Linked DNA regions of Ovis aries. The main gene of each other region encodes a partner of the protein of the gene in region 2 in a complex. Links are inferred from orthologs where the notes say so. Each region holds a gene or a part of one and is shown on either strand. Other genes may lie near its edges. The genes, in order: SOCS6 and KIT.

Region 1 (4,379 bases), on a different chromosome or scaffold from region 2:
GTTGAATACTTGACCTCATACGTCAACATATTTGTATGTATCTTGTGTGTGTGCATGACCCATTTTGCACGACTGCATATTTATGAGCGAATAATAACAGTATTGACACAAACTCAGAAATGATCCTGACAGTTTCCTTTTTTTTGGAGTACTGTATTAGTCGCTCAGTGTGTCCAACTCTTTGCGATCCCATGGACAGTAGCCCACCAGACTACTGAGATTTCCCAGCCAAGAACACTGGAGTGGGTTGCCATTTTCTTCTCCAGGGGATCTTCCCAACCCAGGGATCAAACCCGGATCTTCCACATTGCAGGCGGAATCTTTACCATCTGAGCCACCAGGGAAGCTACATTATAACTCTGAAATAAGATCACAGGATTACTTCCATGAGCCAAATAAAAGGAAATACTAGTAAAAAAAAAACAGCTTCTTGAAAACTGATCACAAGGGAGAAAATTACCAGAGTTTTCTCTAAAGAGTGATGGTTACCTAGCAAGACAGGCTTTAAGAAGATGCTTGCTTCTGCTCCCTAAAAAGAGGGCCATTAAAAGAAGCCTGAGATGATTAGGAATCCAGTCAGCACAGCTGAGTTTTCCTCCCAGGGCACTGCCCAGGTTGGCTGTAGCCCAGGTCAATGGCACCTCAACCCCTGCTGGGCCACTCCCCGACAAGGTGCTACAGGGGAGGGTGTCAGGTGACACCCAAGGGTGTGCCCCTGGGTCCTGGGGAGGCCATGTCTAAGGCCTGCCCACCTTCCCAGTAAGAGAAGGGAAAGGGGCAGTGCCAGGTACTTCCCACCAATTCAGGAGGTATTTAAAGATCACAAGGGGAAAAAGTTCTTCAAAAGAGATACTGAAGGAAGGCCCCCAAAAGGTAAAGGTTTCGGTGAATAAGATGGGGGATCCTATCCAGACCGGTAGAAAGTACTTGTCAGGTCACAGGTGAGCTCTTCTAAGAATCCTAGTTAAGTCCAAGGCCAGTCTGACAGCCTCCCCAAAGGCAACAAGAAACCCTGAGGGACCCTGTCGGAACCAAAGGGTTGGTCACATATTCTGCTTGGAGCAGGCGTGGCCTCTGAAACTTAACCATATCCATGCTACCTGATGCAGAAATACTGAGGAATAAGACCGCACCGGAAGCAGATCACAGGCTGTTTCCAGGTTTTCTCTGTGAAACTTGATAAACAGCGCCATTCATGTTTTTAAATAAAACATTCCCCACAGCACTACATATTCCACTGAACACTCATTCATTCAAGTAAGCTAAGTAGATTTCATGTTGTGATATTTGTTGCTTTAACCAGAAAAAGAAAAAAAAAAGTCAAGATCACTGCACACCTACTGCGGCTGGGAACACCTCGGCCGTTTCATCTTAAAGGAGAGGGCAGTTTACTTTTGTTTGATGACAGACATGTGTGCAGCCAAGGACCGCAGTCCATGAAGAACGTATTTGGGCAACGTTTTATGTCTCATTCACATCGTAACTGTGATTACTACGTTCTCCATCCTCATCCACAGTAAAGTGGCAGGTCTCCTTTTCCAGGGCAGACGTTTCAAGAAAACATTCGTGGAACTGAATCCAACATTATTATATTTCACTACCGGAAGCCTGAGGTCTGTCCCCATATTCCCACCTGGCCCTGAGTTCCAAAAAGTGGGGCTGGGAACCCCGAATTCCACATGCCGACTAAACGTGAAGTTGGCCTGCAGACGACCGCACACGTTCCAAGTTCTGGGCCGGGACCTGCCCCGGGACAAATGTCAATAGATGTGACCCAGAAGGGAGGCACCAAGGTGTCCGCGAAGCGAACCGAACACCGCGACCCGGCCCGGACCCGAGGGCGGGCTCACGTCCTCCCGTGCCCACGGCCACGAGGGTCCGGCGGCGCGTCCCCGCGCGGAGCCCACCGGGGTCCCGGCCACGCCGCGGCCCGGGCCTCCCGCGCGCGCCCGCCGGCCCCGGGGTCCGAGCGCGCAGGCCCCGCGCCGCCGCCCCAGGCCTCGCCGAGCCCCGGCCTCTCCCTGCCGGGCTGCGGGCAACAAAGGCAGCGGCCAGGGCCCGGCGCGCGCGGCGAAGGGCCAGAGGCCGCGGGGTCGGGCCGGCGCGCGCGGCGGAAGCAGGCCTCGGGCCTCCCCAGCCCGGCGCCCCGGCCCGGCTTCCCGGACGCCGCTCCCCGCCGGCCCGAAGCCCGCCCGCGGACCCGCCGAGGCCCTGGCCGCTCCCCGGGCCGCCCGCGCCGGAGCAGCCCCGCGCCGCCCCGCGGAGCCGCGGCGCCCCCGGCGCCCGAGGGGAGCGGGCGGGCGGCCCAGCCCCGCGCCGCAGACGCTCACCCGGCGGCGGCCGCTCCGCGTCCTCGCCCCGCGCCGGCGCGACTGCCGCGCTCGGCCCTGCTCGCCCGCAACTCCGCCTCCCGCCGCCTTCCTCCTCCTCTTCCTCCCGCCTCGCCGCCTCCTCCAGGAGCGGCGCGCCGGCCGCCGGCCCGAGAGGAGCCGCCGCCGAGGAGCCGAGCGGGCCGCCCCGCGCCCACCTCTGGGCCCGCGGCGCAGGCAGGCGTCGGCGCGGGGGGCGGGCCGGCGGGGCGGGGCGGGGCCGGGGCCGGTGCGCGCCGGGGTCCGGGCGCCCGCACCCGCCCTCCGGGCGCCCCCGGCCCCTGCGCGCCCGCCCGCCCGCTCATCCGCCGCCTTTGCAGCCTCGCCTCCGCGGCGGCCGGGCGGACGTGGGAAGGACCGTGTCCTCGGCCCTCGGGCGCCGGCCCCGGCCTCGTCCCCTGCGGTCGAGGGTCCGCTTACCTGGCGCAGTGACCGGGACCACCCGGCCCCCGCGGACGGCGGGACAGAGTGGCCGAGCGCGCGCGCCCGAGCCGGGCCCTTCCCACACCTTTCTCTAGCTTAACCGTAAGATGTGCTGATTAAAAGAAAAACTTACTCCTTGTTTCAGCCCATCTGCTTTTCCCTTTAGTCCTTGTTAGTGGGGTTTTTTTATGCAGAAATAGTTTATTGTTTGTGCCGCCGAGTTCCAAGGGAGCGTGATGTTAAGTTGCGTGTTGGTAACTTGACTCACTTTTTGGGAACCAAACTCTGTGGATTCTTTGCTACCTGCATATAGAATTAACAGCAAATTGGACTTTTGTCAACGAGAAGCATTTTTTATTTTTTATTTCTCTTTTCATTCGAAGAAAAGTAGTTAAAGATAAGTATCATTAAAGTCTAACGAGAATTAGTGTTGGCTTTGAAAGTTGTATTTCTTGAATAGCATGGAGCTTTTACAAAGGAAACAAGGCTAGGGGGAGAAAGTCTTAAAGTTTTTCCGAAGTTATACCTCGGTAAAGCTGTTAGTTTTTTAAAAGTTCAAGTAATTGATCTTAATTCTTATGAATGTTGAATATGTAATTCTCATCTAAACACCAAATCTAGATTAATAATTTAAAAATTACATTGTCAGGCGATTCAGCTGGTTTGTATGACTGAATAGTATATATATATAAGGTTGATGTCATCTGTTACATGTGATTCACCAGACCGCTGTCGTCTTTAGCTCTCATTTCAATTTGTTGTTAAATTCCTGCAGGGTCTTCCCTGGTGGTCCACTGGTTAAGACTCCCTGCTTGCATTGCAAGGGGTGCAGATTTCATCCGTGATCTGCGAACTAATAGCCCCACATGCCCAGAGAGAGGCCAAAAAATAAGTAAAAATAAACTCCTATTATTATTGTTAATCTGACTTAAATGCAACTCAGTTCTCAGATGTCCAATCACAGTGAATGTTGACTGAAATAGACCAGTCAGGTTAGTGAAAATAGTACTTATTAATTAGAGATGAAACAGGACAGAGGATGAGATGGTTGGATGGCATCACCGACTCAATGGACATGAGTTTGAACAAACCCTGAGAAAGAGTGAAGGACAGGGAAGCCTGCTGCAGTCCACGAGGTCGAGAAGAGTCAGACACGACTGAGCCACTGAACAACAACAGAGATGAAACAAACTTTTCAACCCACCCCCCTTGTGGTAAGCCCGTTCAGAAAGAGAAGACGTGGGACAGACTGGAAATCGGACTGGTGTTTCCTTAGCTGGTCTGAAGAAGGCCAGCAGTTGGAGGCCAGAGAGCAGGGCTGATGAGCATGAAGGTGGCAGTGGGCTGGCTGCTTCTCCAGAAGACAGGATCAAGACCCCGGCTTCTGAGTCTGGCAGAGCTGGTGTGGCGTCTCAGCCTTGACAATTCATACAGAGGTGTGAGCTTAACCAAGCTTCTCAGTTGTAACCTCAGTTTCTTAGAAGAAAGGGGGTGAGAATGGGGGAGGTGTTTTTATATTTTTGTATTAACTCTATTAAATGAGTTCATTCCCAACTCTTTGAGACCTCATGGCCTGTAGCCCAGGCT
Region 2 (3,810 bases):
CACTCCCTTTTTTACATAAGAGGCTGATTTATTTAAAGAAAGTATTGCCAAGTTTGAATGAAGAAAATCTTGTTCAGTAAGATATGAGTTTTTAATATTCAACATTGGGGTCTAATCCCTAAGAATTAGATGGCCTTTTTTTTTGTATTCAACTGTAGAGGGGACTCTGGTTAGAAATGTCCTATCTCTCGACACCAGGGATTTAATGAGAAACAGAGAACCAAAACCATTATCCCACATCACTTCTAACTCTCTAAATTAGCCTCAAGAGAGATAAAATGAAAGAGACAAAGAACCGGCGCTCCTGAGATGTGTTATTAGTGGGGGAAGACAGGGATCGTTAACATATAGCGACTGATGGAAGATAGTTTAAAAAAGCCAAGTTTGGTTCAGATAAACACCAATAATTTGGATGATTTTCTGAACCATCTGGACCTCTTGAATCTGTAACATTTGGCTGGAGAGTCTTCAAGATTTCTAGTACTTCCTGCTTCTGATTAGCATAGAAACACCATGACAACAATCTCCTTCAGAGCGTGCTGGTGGTTCCAATCCCATATGGGATCCCAAAGCACAAAAAACACTACACAGGATTGAACTATTTAGGCCATTATTTCAGAAAATCAAAAAATATGTGTGGGGCCAAGGTTTTAGAAATAAGGCAAAGTGGTTCATTTATTCATATAAAGAGCATATGTGCTAGAGAAACAACCAAAGGTGGTTTGGTTTATATTGTATTTTACTGCCACTTGACACCACTCAAAGTTTACAGGATTGAAAAAAAATAAAAAGCTTCATCTAGGGTTTAAAACTTCAACCAGAGGTACAGAAAAACACTTTTATGAGGTAATTGCCCATCAACCATATTTAAAGAGGTCTCCTTCAGGGCCTGGGGTTAAGTTCAGGAGACAAAGTCTTGCCTTCTCAAAATATAGGGGATATGGTAAATAAAAAGGAAAGAGGAAACCCATCACACAACTGCAGAGATAAAATGTACAAGGGATTAGACATGATGACTATGATTCTGTAGGGCTGCATAAATCTAGAAAATCTTAAATGGTGGATCTTAAACACTTGGAAAGAAAAGGCAAAGATGGCAGAGAATTCTATTCTGATTGTAAACTACGCAACTTCTTAAAGGAACTTGAAACTCTTGACATATTCAAATTCAGAATGGTATCAAGGATAAAAGAGATGAAAATAAGGTGCAGAATTTTAAAAAAATATGCTACAGTAGTTATGCCTCTTGATAACCTAAGTTAAGGAAAAAGAGGGCAAGGAATACAGAAATAATTCGGAGGTAGATGGTGAGAAACCTTGGTGCAGAGAGCTATTTGGAGCTCTCTGCCATTCTGTTAAAGGTTTTAAAGGAATTCACTGTGACAACTTGGCAGCCTTCCCCATGTTCCCTATAAACAGTGTGTCTCACTCTAAAGATGCATATAGGACCCTATCGTATAGTATAAAGAGAATCACACAAGAAAGAACCACGGTAAGAGAAACAGGTACAGAAATTATATAGGACCCTGGCTCAACAGTATAAAGAGAATGACCAACAGGAAAGAACCATTCTAAGAGAAACAGGTACAGAATTCATTCAACTAAACAGAACTAAAGTTCAGAGAACACTAAAGATACATTTTTAAAAAGCAACAAAAATTTAAGTTCAAGACTATTTGAATCTCTAAAAACAGTTTGAACTTTCTAAACCGTTAATCACATTTAAATGATTTAATAATTCTGATTTTGCACCCCAAAGTACCTCAGTTCACTTTTTTAAAGAATCAGCCTTGATTGCAAACCCTTATGACCCCATGAACTGCCTGTCAACAGCTATTTATGTCAATCAGTCTTACCAGGAAGACTCCTTTGAATGAAGAAGGTTCTTATAAAGTGCCACTTCGGCATGATCTTCCTGCTTTGAGCAAATAAATGAATCACGTTTTCTTCTCAAAAAATTCAGAAGATCACCATAGCAACAATATTCTGTAATGACCAGGGTGGGCCCTATGAGCATTTAAGAGAAAATTAGAGGGAGGTGAAATATACAGACCATCCAGTCTTCCATAAAAATACTCAAGGGCGATCACAGTCATTCACATTCAGGGTCAATGCTAAGCCTACCAAGCACGAGTACAATCCTATCTATGAACATTGCTTAGCAGAACTTGGGATTCTGTGGAGTAAAACCAAACAACCTTTGTAACCTGAATTTCTGCCTGATTAGGGGTCAGGCATGACTGCTGGTTTTAGACAGGAGTTATAGCCTTCATCATTAGTTATCAAGCTTCCTATGTGAGTCCTCTGATTCACTTCTGTTTACAGAGAGGGCTTCACGCCTTTTGTAATGTCATTATGGAAATGATGATGAGCATAAGCACAAACGGCAGCATAATAGGAAAACCAACCACTGGAACCACCAGCTGAGACTGGAAGGTGCGGAGAAACCCTGAAAAGGAGGGCCATCACGTGTGTTCGGGGCCCTATCAGTTGAACTTCTGTTTTCTTTCCCTGTTGTAAAAGCCTAAAACACTATAGCTCTGAAGTTATTTAACAACTAACTAACTTGGGCAAAAATCTCTCATGAACAATTCATGATGTCAGTGAAGCAACATTTATGGGGGCTGTTTTAAGAAATTACAGAAAGCTGTCAACTTGACCGTGGATCTCTCCAGATCTTGAGGAATGGCTCATTTTAATACATCTTTGTTCCTTTGGACCAAAATGTTTTCTGGAAACATCGTAGAAAGTCTTGATGGGAGGACTAATGAATGCTTCAAAACTGGAAATTTCTTTTTTTATCGAAGTGAAGTCTTTGCTCTTTTGGTGTAGATTTGAGGGCTGGTAGGCTTGGAGGCCTATTTTCAATGATAGCATGCACATGAACATTAACTCTTTAGTGGCTAAAGAGTCATCCAGCCTAAATAAAAGCTCGCAAAATAAAAGAAAAGCTTTCTGGAGGAGATGAGACATTCTCAAGATATTCAAGAGGTCAATGTTGGTGTGATATACACGACAGTAACTAGGTACGTCCTCCTGGGTGTTCTACCCCACGATGATAAACACAAAATATAATTCTTAAGAACAAGACACATGAACCTGGGTCTCCTACACTGCAGGCAGATTCTTTATTGTCTGAGCCACCAGAGAAGCCCCATATATTCTTATAAACATTAAAATATACATTCTTAACATTCAATGGGGTTGGGGGGAATCCAGCAAAAGGTTAAACATTTGGGTCAAAATCCTGCAATGAGCTTATAATCAAGCATTGTCAAAAATCATATCAAAATCTCCCACCTTTTGATAATTTGACCAATTACAAGAGGCAGGTTGGCCATGTCCTTACCTCCAATGGTGCATGCTCCCAGAAGATTCACAATATTCATATGATTACCGAGGTAACTCAAGACTTTGAGTTCAGACATTAGGGCTTCTCGTTCTGTTAAATGGGCGCTTGCTAAAATTAAAAACATCTTATTTTAGAAAAAAGCAAACCTGGGACACTGACGGTGAGCACCCATAACAGCCTGCAGGAACTTACGTTTGAGCATCTTGACAGCAACAGTCATGGCTGCATCCGATTTAATTAAGCCGTAAGCAGTGGCCTCAACGACTTTCCCAAAGGCGCCAGCACCCAAGGTTTTCCCTGTAGGAAGGAAGACAAGGGAGTGAGTGGTGGTGGTGGAACTGAAGAAACATTTGTGTCATTTCAAAACCAATAAGGGAATTAGGGACAAATGTGTCAAGATACACTTCCCTAAAGTGTACCTGATACTAAATCTACCAAAGGCAGCGAAATTGCAGGAA

What was found.
Region 1: the proteins of KIT (region 2) and SOCS6 are in contact, whole or in part, in a crystal structure (PDB 2VIF), measured with the Homo sapiens proteins. The link is inferred for Ovis aries from reciprocal best matches to the Homo sapiens genes KIT and SOCS6. Residues at the interface, in NP_000213.1 of Homo sapiens: Asn566, Asn567, Tyr568, Val569, Tyr570, Ile571, Asp572, Pro573, Thr574; in NP_004223.2 of Homo sapiens: Arg391, Glu395, Arg409, Asp410, Ser411, Ser412, Asp413, Ser419, Phe422, Thr428, Leu429, His430, Thr431, Arg432, Phe442, Tyr443, Glu444, Gln445, Val448, His460, Asp464, Ala469, Phe470, Cys471, Tyr472, Ser473, Arg474, Ser475, Arg476, Thr482.

The regions. Positions count from the first base shown.
Region 1 is NC_056076.1:7,272,862-7,277,240, forward strand, and holds the start of SOCS6 (suppressor of cytokine signaling 6), read right to left. Parts: upstream 2,886-4,379; 5' UTR 2,790-2,885; intron 2,532-2,789; exon of another isoform or gene 2,331-2,531; intron 1-2,330. UniProt on the Homo sapiens protein: SOCS family proteins form part of a classical negative feedback system that regulates cytokine signal transduction.
Region 2 is NC_056059.1:70,935,073-70,938,882, reverse strand, and holds part of KIT (mast/stem cell growth factor receptor Kit), read right to left. Parts: intron 3,650-3,810; coding exon 3,545-3,649; intron 3,461-3,544; coding exon 3,350-3,460; intron 2,008-3,349; coding exon 1,857-2,007; intron 1-1,856. UniProt on the Homo sapiens protein: Tyrosine-protein kinase that acts as a cell-surface receptor for the cytokine KITLG/SCF and plays an essential role in the regulation of cell survival and proliferation, hematopoiesis, stem cell maintenance, gametogenesis, mast cell development, migration and function, and in melanogenesis.